2 linked regions of the Saccharomyces cerevisiae S288C genome follow. The gene in region 1 interacts genetically with each later gene. Each region holds a gene or a part of one and is shown on either strand. Other genes may lie near its edges.

Region 1 (9,405 bases):
AGCCAAGGATGAAACTATAAACTTTACCAATGAGGAGCAGCTTGTGCTAAGCATGCAAAAAAATTTAATATTGTCCTTAGTTTGCTTAGAATCAAAAACCTTCAATAATAAGCTAATTGTAATGAGAAGACTCATATCGTGCGCAGGCAACATCTCCGCCAACCTAACAAACTCTAACAAACGAGAGCAATCATTATGTATCGAAACTATTAAGAGTTCCGCAAGTAGTTATGCCCTAGCCGCAGCTTTGATGATATTATGTAACTCAGTTGCATCCAAAAGTGACGCTGTCGCGCTACTGAAGCTCATATCTCTTAGTGAATTGATTCAAGTTGGTAGCTTGCTACAAGACCCACTACAATATCAAGGATTCCTAGATTTACTGAGGAAGCTGTTAAATCTGGAAAATACCATGTGGCTAGATATCAAGGACCTCTTCACCCTATTTCAGATTATGAGAAGATGTCACGAGCAAACTAAATATTATAACAACCTGAGATCGTTATTAACAAATTTATTAAACAAAACTTTAACGGTGCTTCCAAGTTCAAAAATACACAATTCAATAAGCAGTGATCCAACAATTATCTCTTTTATAGCAGAGCATGGAACGTTAACGTCCTGTATTGCGATGGATAAGCTGCTTGTGTCCAAGAAAGCCCTTCCTAAAGAAGCTATTACATCCCTATGGGATTCGATCTTCAAATTCCAAAATTTAGGTCAAGCAGAACAACTAAGCATCTCAGATTTATTTCATATCACAAAAACGGTTGGAATTTATTTAAAAGATTCAAGTGTAACAGCTGACGTGAATCCGATTGAAAATATACTATTCAAGGATTACATTCAAAAGTTAACCCTGATATTAGAGACCATACTTTCATTTAAAGAAAATAAAGATAAGGGTAGCGAGAGTTGTTTCAACAATGGGAAATTTATAGCGGGCATAATACTAAACATTGTGAAAAATACGAAATGCTTAACGCCAGAGGAACAAAATTTAGAAGCGCTTGCAAAATCGTTCTTTTAGACACGTAATCGCCTTACCTACGAGGGGAGAAAACGTTCCCTCTGCATGTATATATATATATATATATATAAATATTAAATCTTGAATATTGTTGGATTAAGCATGTGCTTGACAAATGGTGTATGGGTTTGTAGACGATGAGAGTGGAAGGGAGATTAAAAGTTTATTGCAGATGCGAACATCTGCACAAAAGTACTTGAATGTACTAAGCAGAAAAAGTTCTAATACATATTAGCAGGAGGCCCAACAGTCACACAAGTTCAGCAGAACTGCCAATTAATCGAAAAGAATATGTATGTTTCTAATGGGAAAGACACTTGCCAGTTGTTGGGGCCCGTGTCTCTTTTTGTCCAGACATTGATGGGTATGACAGCCGTGATTGTGTTATTGGTGAAAAGAAACTATGAGCATCCAAGGAGAAAAATGATTGTGTGGAGTTATGACATTGGAAAACAAATCATCGGCTCTCTTGGAATCCATTTTTTGAATCTAGGCATCAGCATACTGAAGAAAAGACGAAGGTCACTCTTCGCAATCACTGCAAAAGGCAATGATGATGAGGATCAATGCGATTGGTATTTTCTTAACTTACTCCTGGATACTACTGTTGGGATTCCCATTCTTTGGTTGTGCTTATACATAATTGAAAAAGTGCTAAAATCCTTACACTTCCAAAACATTGAAAGTGGTAATTATTTTCCATCTAAAACCGTTGGGAGCCACCCCAGAAAACCCTTATTCTCTGCCTTCGTGAAACAGCTGCTTATATTCATTGTTGGGCTGGGCGTGATGAAGTTCTGCGTGTTTCTAATACTAAACTACTTAGAAGACTTGGCATACTGGTTCGCCGATCTTATCCTTGGCTGGTCAGATTCATGGCCAAACTTTCAAGTTTTTCTGGTCATGTTTGTCTTTCCTATCTTACTGAATTGCTTCCAGTACTTTTGTGTCGACAATGTCATCAGGTTACATTCTGAGAGCCTAACGATAACCAATGCAGAGAATTTTGAAACGAACACATTCCTAAATGACGAAATTCCTGATTTATCGGAAGTCTCAAATGAAGTGCCTAACAAGGATAACAACATTTCCAGCTATGGTAGCATAATATAGTATTCCAAGGATAAGGAAAGCATGCACTGTTTATTTCCTTTCCTTGCTTAATTGATTTTTTTTAAAGGGAACAAACATTTTGATTTCAATTTCCACAAGCCTAGACTCTTCAACACATAATCTGTGGGTTATTGTTTGGGAAAGCATTCTCCGCTAGAAGAATGAAACTGGCGCTCAGGTTTGATTCTATAACTACGGCAGTTTTTCCTATTCTATTTTCGTTTTTTGATTTTCCCGCCGCATTGGATATTCAATTCGCGACGCTAATAATTGGCATTTCGTGTTCTTAAGTAATTTCGTGTTTCAAATAACCGTAAACAGAGAAAGACCCAAGAATTTCAGATGGCTTAGAAGAGGTAGACATTAAATCAATCTGTATGTGATGGAGAGGGAGTGTATTTAAAAGACGTAAGAAAATGAATTATCAAGATCCGTTATGGCCATCTAGTCTCTTTCTTGTACACTAGTTGTCTAACACAACCAACAAATTAGAATATATATCGCAATGATTTTCAAAATATTGTGTAGTTTACTACTGGTAACCTCCAACTTCGCTTCTGCCTTATATGTCAATGAAACTACGAGCTATACACCATACACGAAGACATTAACTCCAACATACTCTGTTTCACCTCAAGAGACAACATTAACGTACAGCGATGAAACAACCACCTTCTACATAACATCTACTTTTTACTCTACCTACTGGTTCACTACCTCCCAATCAGCTGCTATTATTAGTACACCTACTGCAAGTACACCTACTGCAAGCACGCCTAGCCTAACTACGTCCACAAATGAATACACCACCACCTATTCTGACACAGACACCACCTACACGTCTACTCTGACCTCTACTTACATAATAACTCTATCTACGGAATCCGCCAACGAGAAGGCTGAACAGATTTCCACGAGCGTCACAGAAATTGCTTCTACAGTAACCGAATCGGGCAGTACATACACCTCTACTTTGACCTCAACCTTATTGGTTACTGTATATAATTCCCAAGCTAGTAATACAATAGCGACATCCACAGCTGGGGACGCCGCCTCCAATGTTGATGCCTTAGAAAAGTTAGTCTCTGCTGAACATCAATCTCAGATGATTCAAACCACATCCGCCGATGAACAGTACTGTAGTGCGTCTACCAAGTATGTTACAGTTACAGCTGCTGCAGTTACCGAAGTGGTTACTACTACGGCGGAGCCTGTTGTTAAATACGTTACTATAACTGCCGATGCTAGTAATGTTACAGGTTCTGCTAACAACGGTACCCACATTTAATGCGTGACGTTGAATCGAGAAAAAAAGCTACTTTTAACGAAACCTTTACTAGTTATCCTATATGGGATCACTAGTATTTTTTGATTTACGATTCAATAAATAGACTAGAGACAACTTTCATATCATTCCTTAAAAAATACATAAAGCGCAAATTCAACCCCATTGATACATATATAAGTAGTTCTATTATGACTTTCAAGAACAATAGTAGCTTTTCTAAATAATCAATAAGTAGCACAAAATCTGTCTGTTTGTACGCTTATATTTAGTTTGCGTTTATTTGCGAGCGCCACGAGAAGGGGCAGGAAAAAAAGATCAATAGTTTGCAATAAACATCGAATGATGATTTCAACCACCGATACATAAACCAGCGAGGCTTTCAAGGAAGAATGAACGTGAACTCGTCAACTCAAAAAGAAAATGAGCCAGCATATTAGGAAATTAGATTCTGATGTTTCTGAAAGACTTAAATCTCAGGCATGCACGGTATCGCTAGCATCAGCGGTTAGAGAAATAGTTCAAAATTCTGTAGATGCACACGCTACCACTATCGACGTCATGATCGACCTCCCTAATTTGAGCTTTGCAGTTTACGATGATGGTATTGGTTTGACTCGAAGTGACCTAAATATATTGGCCACACAAAATTATACTTCCAAAATACGAAAGATGAATGATTTAGTAACGATGAAAACCTACGGTTACAGAGGAGACGCCCTATATAGCATTTCTAATGTCTCTAATCTGTTTGTTTGTTCCAAGAAAAAGGATTACAACTCTGCATGGATGAGAAAATTTCCATCCAAAAGCGTCATGTTGAGTGAGAATACCATACTCCCAATAGATCCTTTTTGGAAAATTTGTCCTTGGAGCCGAACAAAGTCTGGTACTGTTGTTATTGTTGAAGATATGCTGTATAATTTACCTGTCCGGCGCAGAATACTAAAGGAAGAACCCCCTTTCAAGACTTTTAACACAATAAAGGCAGATATGCTACAGATACTGGTAATGCACCCGATGATTTCACTCAACGTACAATATACAGACAAACTCAGAATCAATACAGAAGTTCTTTTCCGCTCAAAGAACATAACTGAGGGGTTAACAAAGCACCAGCAAATGTCTCAAGTACTGAGAAATGTGTTTGGGGCAATAATACCACCGGATATGCTTAAGAAAGTTTCCTTGAAGTTTAATGAATATCAGATTGAAGGGATCATATCGAAGATGCCCGTTGGATTGAAGGATCTTCAATTTATATATATCAATGGCAGACGTTATGCGGACAGCGCCTTTCAAGGATACGTCGATTCTTTATTCCAAGCACAAGATTTCGGGGAGAAAGGCATGAGTTTACTCAAAACTAAAAGCGTGGGAAAACCGTATCGATCACATCCCGTCTTCATCCTTGATGTTCGGTGCCCCCAAACTATCGATGACCTGTTACAAGATCCAGCAAAGAAAATTGTTAAGCCTTCCCATATACGTACCATTGAACCATTGATCGTTAAGACCATTCGCTCCTTTCTGACATTTCAAGGATACTTAACGCCTGATAAATCAGATTCATCTTTCGAAATAGTCAATTGTTCACAGAAGACGGCAACATTGCCTGATAGTCGAATCCAAATCAGTAAACGTAATCAAGTATTAAATTCAAAAATGAAGATTGCACGCATTAATTCATACATAGGAAAACCCGCTGTCAATGGATGTAGAATAAACAATAGTACAATAAACTACGAAAAAATCAAGAATATAAGAATCGACGGTCAGAAATCAAGGTTACGGAATAAACTCTCTTCCAGGCCCTACGATAGTGGTTTTACAGAAGATTATGACAGTATAGGAAAAACCATAACAGATTTTTCAATATCAAGATCTGTCCTGGCAAAATATGAAGTGATTAATCAAGTAGATAAAAAATTTATTCTCATACGTTGTTTAGACCAATCTATTCATAATTGCCCACTATTAGTTCTAGTTGATCAACATGCTTGCGATGAGAGGATAAGACTAGAAGAGCTATTTTATAGCCTGTTGACAGAAGTTGTAACCGGAACTTTTGTTGCACGAGACCTCAAGGATTGTTGCATTGAAGTTGATCGTACTGAGGCTGACTTATTTAAGCATTATCAAAGTGAATTTAAAAAGTGGGGAATTGGCTATGAAACAATTGAGGGAACAATGGAAACCTCACTTTTGGAAATTAAAACACTGCCTGAGATGTTAACTTCCAAATATAACGGGGATAAAGACTACTTAAAAATGGTCTTGCTGCAACATGCTCATGACCTGAAGGATTTCAAAAAACTTCCAATGGATTTATCCCATTTCGAAAACTACACTTCGGTTGATAAATTATATTGGTGGAAGTACTCAAGCTGCGTTCCAACGGTCTTTCATGAAATTCTTAACAGCAAGGCATGCAGATCTGCTGTTATGTTTGGAGATGAATTAACCCGGCAAGAGTGCATAATTTTAATTAGCAAGCTCTCGCGATGCCATAACCCATTCGAATGCGCCCACGGGAGACCTTCTATGGTACCCATTGCAGAATTGAAGTAAAGAGAACCTTAATCCTGGAACAAGGTTTGTCGCCTGCATTTTAAATTGCGCGGATATGCAAAACAGAAGATTACCTCATCACGTTGTCAAAACCTGGAAAAATTTAAAAAACAAAAACAAAAAAGAAACGTGCGATACAATACTGCTCCACTGTTGCATTACCGTTTTATGTATCTCTGATATTATAAATGTAGCCCTAGATTTATATGAATATATATATATATATATATACCATTTATATATGCAAACACAAAATAACCTAAAATTTAAAAATGACTATTGATGGAGACGTACATGAAATTTCCCCATTTTTCCAGGTTAGGCAAACTAAATGGGGCGGTAGGGCTTGTTTCAGTAATGGTAATATTCCTAAAGGGACAACAGTCTTGCAAGTCAGTAATTTTACAGGAACATCTATTTCCTATGAGTTCAGGAAGGAAGTTTGTCACAATTGTTTCGCATACGCTAATGCGAAAACTATGAAGTACAAACTAAACTACGATTACCTGAGAGATTTGGTTTGTAATGCACACTACCAAATTAACCCTAAGAAGTTTCTGGGCGCTGGACTGTGGTTCTGTTCAGAACATTGCAGAACTTCTTATCTTCAAATACCAAATATCATTGAATTAATTGAATGTTATGAGATATTACTGCATCATTTTCCAAGCATGCTGAAAAGATATAATTATACCTCTGAACAGGAGGAAAAATTAAACTCTATCTTAATTTCGGAAAATGTCATACAGTCTTCATGGGATGAGATTGAAAGTAAATGGATACCGCGCATCAACAACATGAAATCTGCGAAGAGAATAAATCAATTACCACCCACTTGCGAAGATGAATATTGCTGCATTAGGTTTGTGTGCGAGAGTTTGTTTAATCTTAAATATATGGATCCTCAGTGCATAACATACCGAGCTTTCAATATGTTACAATCGAATGAGCTTAGCAAAATATCTAAATTTCCTGTCTTACTGCACTTTCAAAAATTAGTATTTCAAACACTCTATATTCTATTACCTTCACATTTGCATAGAATGCTCTCCATACCGCTATTGAGACATATATTAGGTACTGAATATGGGAATGCTTTTGGTTTATGGCAAGAGGGCGAAGCCTCAGACAGCAGAGAATATTTTGGATACTGGGTATTTCCAGAAGCCTCCTATTTCAACCACTCTTGTAACCCCAATATAACGAAATATCGTAAAGGTAATTCAATGCTATTCACTATGAATAGAGATATAAAAAAGGATGAGCAGATCTGTATCGATTATTCCGGGGTACTGGACTTACCAACAGTAAAACGCCGGGCCTTTTTGGCCGACAGTTGGTTTTTTGATTGTGCTTGTGAAAGATGTAAATCAGAATTGCAATCTGTCCATTAGCGCTTCTTCCAACGCAGATTTACTAACACTTAAGCTCGAAGATAAATCGTCATCTGAACTACCGCACTCCATTTCTTTATTAATACCATCCTTATCCAATTTGTCATTAGGCTTATTCTCACTATCCGATGTTTTCTTGTGAATGTTCAAAATTTTGGAAGTTTGCAAATGTTGTAACGCCTCATTTGTTACTTCTGTCTCAACTTCTTCAGAATCCTGTCTTTCCGTGGTCAGTGGGCTTGCGGATACATTTAATAGATTATCATTTTGTAAAGTAGGGGTATATTTATGTATTAAATCAGACATCCCTTCATTCACTTGATCATTTGAATACTTCTCAAGATCTCTTTTTTTCTCCAATTGTAGTTGTAAAAGCTCTAAGTGTTCAGCAAATAATTTATATGTTCTCTTTTTAAGAAAAAATTCAGGCGTTTCAAATATTTTTGATAAATTCTGCCAATCTATTTGATCTTGTGAATAATTCAAATTTGATACCATTGTCCAAAGCTGTCGCTCCTTTGTTCCATTCCACTCAAATTTGGGAGGATCCAAGAATCCCTGTGGTCTCCTACCCTTAACTTTGATATATACAACTGTGTTTGTACTATTCATAATCATGAAAGTCAAGTAGGAAAATGCACAGCAGTACAATTATGTATGTCTCTTCTTGATAAGTATTCACTAACACCCCTTTATTTTCACCTTGAATCATTTTTTTGACGAGTGCAGTGCGTCTAGAAATAGTGTACTTGAAGAAAAAAGCCATCTCTGTAATAGAAGCACAAAACAAGAGAAAGTATTTGAGTCAATACAAAACTACAAGTTGTGGCGAAATAAAATGTTTGGAAATGTCGAGGGAGTCGAACGACACAATACAGAGCGATACGGTTAGATCATCCTCTAAATCAGACTATTTTAGAATCCAGCTAAATAATCAAGACTACTATATGTCAAAACCCACCTTTTTGGACCCATCGCACGGTGAAAGCCTGCCCTTAAACCAGTTTTCACAGGTCCCAAACATCAGGGTGTTTGGTGCTTTACCCACAGGGCATCAAGTATTGTGCCACGTCCATGGCATTCTACCTTACATGTTCATCAAGTATGATGGACAAATAACTGACACGAGTACATTGAGACACCAAAGATGTGCCCAAGTTCATAAAACGCTGGAAGTAAAAATTAGGGCATCCTTTAAAAGGAAAAAAGATGATAAACACGATTTAGCCGGCGACAAACTTGGAAATCTCAATTTTGTCGCTGATGTCTCTGTTGTAAAGGGTATACCATTTTATGGTTACCACGTTGGCTGGAATCTGTTTTACAAAATTTCTTTGCTTAATCCTTCTTGTCTAAGTAGGATTTCGGAATTGATTAGAGATGGCAAGATTTTCGGAAAGAAATTCGAAATTTATGAATCACATATTCCTTACTTGCTACAATGGACCGCAGATTTTAACTTATTTGGATGTTCATGGATAAACGTGGATAGGTGTTATTTTCGCTCTCCTGTTTTAAATAGTATACTGGACATAGATAAGCTGACAATTAATGATGATCTTCAGTTGTTACTAGATCGATTTTGTGACTTCAAGTGTAACGTACTCAGTAGAAGGGATTTTCCACGGGTTGGAAATGGATTGATTGAGATAGATATACTACCGCAATTCATCAAAAATAGAGAAAAGTTACAGCATAGAGATATACATCACGACTTTTTGGAAAAACTGGGAGATATTTCTGACATACCTGTCAAACCATATGTATCCTCTGCTAGGGACATGATAAATGAACTTACCATGCAACGAGAGGAGTTGTCCTTGAAGGAATATAAAGAACCACCAGAAACAAAGCGCCATGTGAGTGGTCATCAATGGCAATCTTCTGGAGAGTTCGAAGCGTTTTATAAGAAAGCACAACATAAAACAAGTACTTTTGATGGTCAAATACCAAATTTTGAGAACTTTATAGATAAGAATCAAAAATTCTCAGCCATAAATACGCCCTATGAA
Region 2 (6,033 bases), on another chromosome or scaffold:
CTGGTTGGGCGAAGATTAAATGCAGCGGCCATACTAGCTTCTTTGCTTCAAGTAAGGGAGTTAAATACGAAGCTATAGTAGGTGTGTGGCCGTTGAGATGTCCTAAGTCAGGAACAACAGCAACCCATTTCAAATTTTTTTTATTTTGTAAGTTTATACCATGAGATACACTTAACGTCGTCAAGAGAAGTTCTGTATGTTTTGGTGGCGTTATCAAGTATCCTTGCTTGGAAGCAGGGGCCAAATGCATCCTTATTCCAGATGGTGCTAAATAAAGCGCATGCTTTGAAAGGAAAGATTCTTCCAAATTTTCCTCCTTCATTGGTACTAATCCCATGTTCTTGGCACATAACGACACTGTGAGATCTCCGTTTACAAAAAGGTGTGGTTCTAGCTGTACGAGATAATTTGGCACTCCGCTTAATGATATGCAGGCATTCCCAAATTGTATTAGCTTATTGTGTGAACCTAATGCCAAATTAATGTAAATTTTCCTTCTTAAAGCTTTTAAAAAAAGAGCATAGTGTGGCGGTAAGTTTGGCTTTGAATAATCGGCAGTGAAAGTTCCGATTTTATCTGGGCTCACTGGTTTATGTTCTATCGCAGGAGGTGTCGGTACCGGATCATCATTTATACTGAAACACCATAAATCCCTTGAAAGCAGCGCAACTAGAGTCTTTGGATCCTGCTTCCGTAGCATGAATTCCATTTGGATAGACCATTGATCGTTTTGGGCTTTAGAAATGTACTGATGATAGTTGATCTTTTTGATTTTCTCCACTCTATAGAAGCTGGATAAAACATCCTCAAGTCTGTACGTGGAAGCGTCAGAACTCATACTACCTCCTCAGATCTTGATATCCAGCTTAAACGTTCTTAAAATATAGTTACACCTTACTTCAACAAAGTAATTTCCGATTTCACACCATTCGTCTTAAAGGGTTGTTGTAAGAGTGTACTACAATAAATACTACACTACTTGATCCGGCACTACCCGGTCCCTCCACCTGAAAAAATGTTTCAATTCTTCGCTTTGTTAAGCGCGAATATATCGATGCTATTTTCTAAGGATTGTTTATTCAGTATGATAAAACAATGAACAGCAGGAAATGCGGAGGAGAATCACTTACTCGGCTGTTATTCATCTTCTTATTATAAAAGAATTGCTCCATTTTGGTTCGATCCCTTAATGCCTTACAAAATCAACCGAATGAAAAATTCGCTCGAGATAAATGAAACCGGAGGTACCTTATTGGTTGATGAGCGGAAGAGATTAAGAATAGGTGAGTTATATCGCTACAAGTTTTCCGTGAACAAAGATGTAATTAAGGAACAAGGGCTAGATGTATCGCATCTATTCTTGAGGATCAAGAACGAGGAAAGCGCGCTTCTGCGACCGCTTTATTTGACGGGGCCATATTCTTTTTACATCGATGTTAGGCCGCATAACTATAATGAGAATCGCAAGTTTCCAGGGAAGGAAATTATTCCATTTGTTGAAAATCTAAAGCCGGACGAAAGATTTAAAGTAAAAATATTATTGAATGAGAATTCTAGAGTTGGCGACACTTCTCTTTATTCATGGACAATAGATATAATTTCGCAGTTGGCGGTAACCACAATTCCGAAGCTGGAATTTTCGTTTAGGATAGGGACTACAAGGAAGGTGGTCAAGAAATCGAATGGGCTCTTTAAGAGTATTGAAGGTGTCTCTTTAGAGATGTGGGATACTGAAACCCTTTGGGATTTACCACCAAAATTTCCAGAAAAGCCTGTACATCTCGTTATTATGACACATGGTATATTTTCTAATATCGGGTGTGATATGCTATATATGAAAGATAAAATTGAAGAAATGACGTTTCCTATGGATGAGTCTATTAATCCGAATATAATTGTTCGAGGTTTTATGGGCAACGTCGGGAAATCAGGTCACGGTATACATTGCTTGGGCGTTAGAGTTGGAAAGTATGTGCTTGAGACTGTTGATAAGTTGAATAAAAAGTACAAAGTAGACAGGATATCATTCATTGGCCATTCCCTAGGAGGGCCAACTCAATCCATGGCGGTGCGTTACATAAGTATTAAAAGACCAGATTTTTTTGATGCAGTTAAAGGTGTTAAACCCGTTAATTTTATTACGTTAGCTAGTCCTTTCATCGGTGTTATTGGCGACTTCCCCTTTTATTTGTCTGTTCCACTGGATATGGGCGCGCTTGGTTTGACAGGAAGGGACTTGAATTTAAAATATACACCGTTAACGTCCAAAGATGGGTTGTATGCAGACGATGAAGTGTACCCAGAACATTCCAAGTACATATTAGAAATTCTTCCACAGGCGCCGGCTAAAAAAGTATTTGAGTCTTTTAAGAGGAGAACGATATATGCCAATGTCATGGATGATGGTATTGTTCCATTACGAACTGCTGCACTTTTGTATCTGGATTGGCGAAGCATACACAAAGTCCAGAAAATTAGGAAAAAAAATAAGAACTCTCCAACTTCAAGCGAGTTTGTGTCCTCCGATAGCCCAGAGAGTAGTGGAGCATCATCACCTTCAAACGAAAATGGTAACAACGTCGGGGAGATTCCTGCAGAAAGTCCAAACAAAAAAGCGACGTTGCAGTGGACTTTACCTCAGGCCGTTATCCACGGAAGTAAAATAAATAAATATAAGAGAGGACAAACTAATGAAGCCAACTCAGATTCGGATAATGAACAAGGAGTATTTCTTGATGGTCAAAAGTTCGAACCTCCAAAAGAAGCCAATACTGTATTGTCTGCATTATCGGTATTGACAGCTGCCATACCAGATCAGGAGTATATCAAAAACCCGGCTGTAAGGAAAGATGAAGTCATTCATGATAAACTTTATCACCCGGAAGAATTACCTCCGCCGCATTATGAGAATAGGCCTATCGTTAAGAAGCTTATATATCCTAATGAGAGTGTCAACAGGATTCAAGAGCGCATTGCTAGAGAATGGCAAGAAACGATGACTTGGAGAAAAGTATTAGTGCAGATCCAGCCTGATTCCCATAACAATATCGTAGTAAGAAGAAGATTTGTTAATTTATACGGCTATGTTGCTGTGGAACACATGGTTGAGCACCATTTCGGATCCAAGGTTTGTAGCGAGCTGGCTGAAGATGCAAATGAGCCAAAAGATGAGCCAAACCAGTCATCGCAAGCGGACCGGTCGAATGAGTATAACGAGGGGGAAATATCAAAGGGCGCGGAGAATGCCACATGAGTTTGATGATTTATAATGTATACGTAAAAAAAAATATCATAGATGAAATAAAAGTTTCTTAAGAATATCACAATGACCACAATAAAGTGTGGATGTTGTTTAAAAAAAAGATAGCCCTGTAGGGGGCTCGAACCCCTAACCTTATGATTAAGAGTCATACGCGCTACCGATTGCGCCAACAAGGCTATTTCGTTGGAAAAACTAATTAATTTTGGAAGTAATAGGACATTAAACATGTTTGTTGCAATGAAACTTTAAAATATCATCTGTTTAGTTTTATTCATGTTACTTGTTGGAATAAAAATCAACTATCATCTACTAACTAGTATTTACGTTACTAGTATATTATCATATACGGTGTTAGAAGATGACGCAAATGATGAGAAATAGTCATCTAAATTAGTGGAAGCTGAAACGCAAGGATTGATAATGTAATAGGATCAATGAATATTAACATATAAAACGATGATAATAATATTTATAGAATTGTGTAGAATTGCAGATTCCCTTTTATGGATTCCTAAATCCTCGAGGAGAACTTCTAGTATATCTACATACCTAATATTATAGCCTTAATCACAATGGAATCCCAACAATTACATCAAAATCCACATTCTCTACATTACTAGTATATTATCATATGCGGTTTAAGAAAATGGTATAAAGATTAAGAAACAGTCATGAAAATTTAGTGAAGCTGAAATGCCAGTATTGATAATACGATAGAATAATGAATGACAAAGTATATAAGGAAGATGAAGTAACATTATTATGGAGAACTATCGACTCCCTTTTGTGAATTTCTATATCCTCAAGGAGAATTGCTTGTATACTATGTATATATAATATTATAACCCTTGACAACAATGGAATAATTAGTCCTTAAACGTTAGACTGGCTGGGACAGCACGACCTCTGTTGGCTAATTTTACTTTTCCCACAACCGTAGATCTTGATTTCATGACTGTTTTCGTGGTAATGTCCGAATGATACATATATAAGTTATATGCTTTCACTTTATAAGTATTAGCGTTTTTACTCACCATCCACTGCTTTGAGAAGATGTGGTCAGCAACCACGCAATACATCACATATTTTGGCACGGGTGATGTACCGATCTAATGGCTAAGCTTCCTTTTGGAAGCTGATAGAGATCCAGATTTGCATCTCTATCGCTATTGTCGTCATCGACACTGCTCACTTAGTGCTGCAGGTAAATTCCGTTTTTTTCCAAATTAATATTTATGAACGTTATGATGTCAAGTTTTTTCAAGAAGTAATTATCCGCGAAAAAAAGAATATAAAAAATACAAATGTGCATAGATCCTCACATAGTATACAACTAAAAAGCAAACAAAAGAACATCCTCAAATGACTGTTATAAAGACAGAACCAACAACAGAAGTGACATTATATTCTCCACCATCAAAAGAATCTTTAAGTAAAGATGACGCCCACAGAAAAAAACAAAATAATAAACCACCTTCGAGTATAAATAGCCGCTCAGGACCAAATAAGCATAAACTTGCCGCCAAAGCACCGGAAAAGAAAATCAATAACACAGATAAACAAGACCTCTCTGCCTTTTTATTAAATCCTTCCCTTATTGTTAAACCTTCTGAGAGCAAAAAAAAAGAAAATATTGTGGCCTATAATGATACACCAGGTATAAAAACAGAACATACAGCGTTTCAGCCGCTGACACCAATTTCGAAAAAAAGGGCCCTGAAAGAGAAAGCAGCATCAGAAAAATGTGATAGCTTTGATCTTTCCAGAGACGAGAAGCCTTATATTCAGAAAAAGTCAAAGACGCTTTCTTCCGTCACAGAGATTAATTCCTCAGAATATAAACTCTCACTAAATGGCGAAAATACATCATCCCCAGCTAAGGAAAAATCGCAAGAACCCATAGAAAATCCTGGAAGTTACCAAAAAACAAGAAATTACCTTTTTGAAAAGCCCGATCCTTTAGACACGTGCCTTCAGGACTACTCGAGTATGCTACCGTCAAATGTAGCAGAAGAAGATCAAGAATATTTTATCAGCGTAGCTGATTCGACATTGGAGGAGTGGACTAACAAGGGCCAGGAAATTATTGACCAACAGTTCCAGCTCTACCAAGAAATAATCAAGAAACGAATAGAACTAAGCTACAAATTTAAGGGTATTATTTCTGTAATCAATGATAGGGCAGATGCCCTAGAAGAACAGGGTCAACAACTAGAAGGAAAAATTAAGAAAGTTAAAACTTTGGCTAATGAAATTCTCAATATTATATAAACGCTTCATAAAGTTGATCAAAGGTGCTATATTCAGTAACAAAATGCTTATAATTAAGAGAATACATCCCTAATAATGAATCATATCTTTCATATTTTAGATGATATTGAAATTATTTAACTATACATAAGGAGAGTCCTCAATGAAATGGAGTAAAACAGACGACATGATAATAACTATATCAATTCATGCTTTTTAGTTTCTCTTTCTGTAACGTCTGTCTCTTTGAGCGGAAACGTTGATGACAGATAATGGCAACTTCAAACCCAAAGATTTAACCAAGTCAGAGGTTTGGTTGTCAACGTTCAAAACACCGTTAGAACGAGACAAGTCCAAAGCAGAGACTTCTGGGACGTATTGATCCTTTCTTTCTCTTTCTTCTTCTTGCAATTTGAAAGAAATACCTCTAACTGGACCCTTTTGGATTCTTTTCATCAAATGAGTAGTGTAACCAGCAATCTTGTTTCTCAATCTCTTGGATTGGATAGTTGCAATTTCAT

Evidence for each region.
Region 2: of MLH3 (region 1) and ECM11, changing one suppresses a phenotype caused by changing the other (phenotypic suppression), as found in Saccharomyces cerevisiae (one study listed by BioGRID).

Annotation. Positions count from the first base shown.
Region 1 is NC_001148.4:235,944-245,348, reverse strand, and holds MLH3 (mismatch repair protein MLH3), read left to right. Parts: upstream 1-3,851; coding exon 3,852-5,999; downstream 6,000-9,405. Other genes in the region: BEM4 (Bem4p), read left to right, coding at 1-1,030; YPL162C (uncharacterized protein), read left to right, coding at 1,322-2,143; SVS1 (Svs1p), read left to right, coding at 2,649-3,431; SET6 (Set6p), read left to right, coding at 6,272-7,393; ATG29 (Atg29p), read right to left, coding at 7,370-8,011; REV3 (DNA-directed DNA polymerase), read left to right, coding at 8,242-9,405. UniProt on the Saccharomyces cerevisiae protein: Involved in DNA mismatch repair (MMR), correcting insertion-deletion loops (IDLs) resulting from DNA replication, DNA damage or from recombination events between non-identical sequences during meiosis.
Region 2 is NC_001136.10:1,349,101-1,355,133, forward strand, and holds ECM11 (Ecm11p), read left to right. Parts: upstream 1-4,624; coding exon 4,625-5,533; downstream 5,534-6,033. Other genes in the region: SSN2 (Ssn2p), read right to left, coding at 1-838; YDR444W (putative hydrolase), read left to right, coding at 1,190-3,253; 40S ribosomal protein eS17 RPS17B, read right to left, coding at 5,729-6,033. UniProt on the Saccharomyces cerevisiae protein: May be involved in cell wall organization and biogenesis.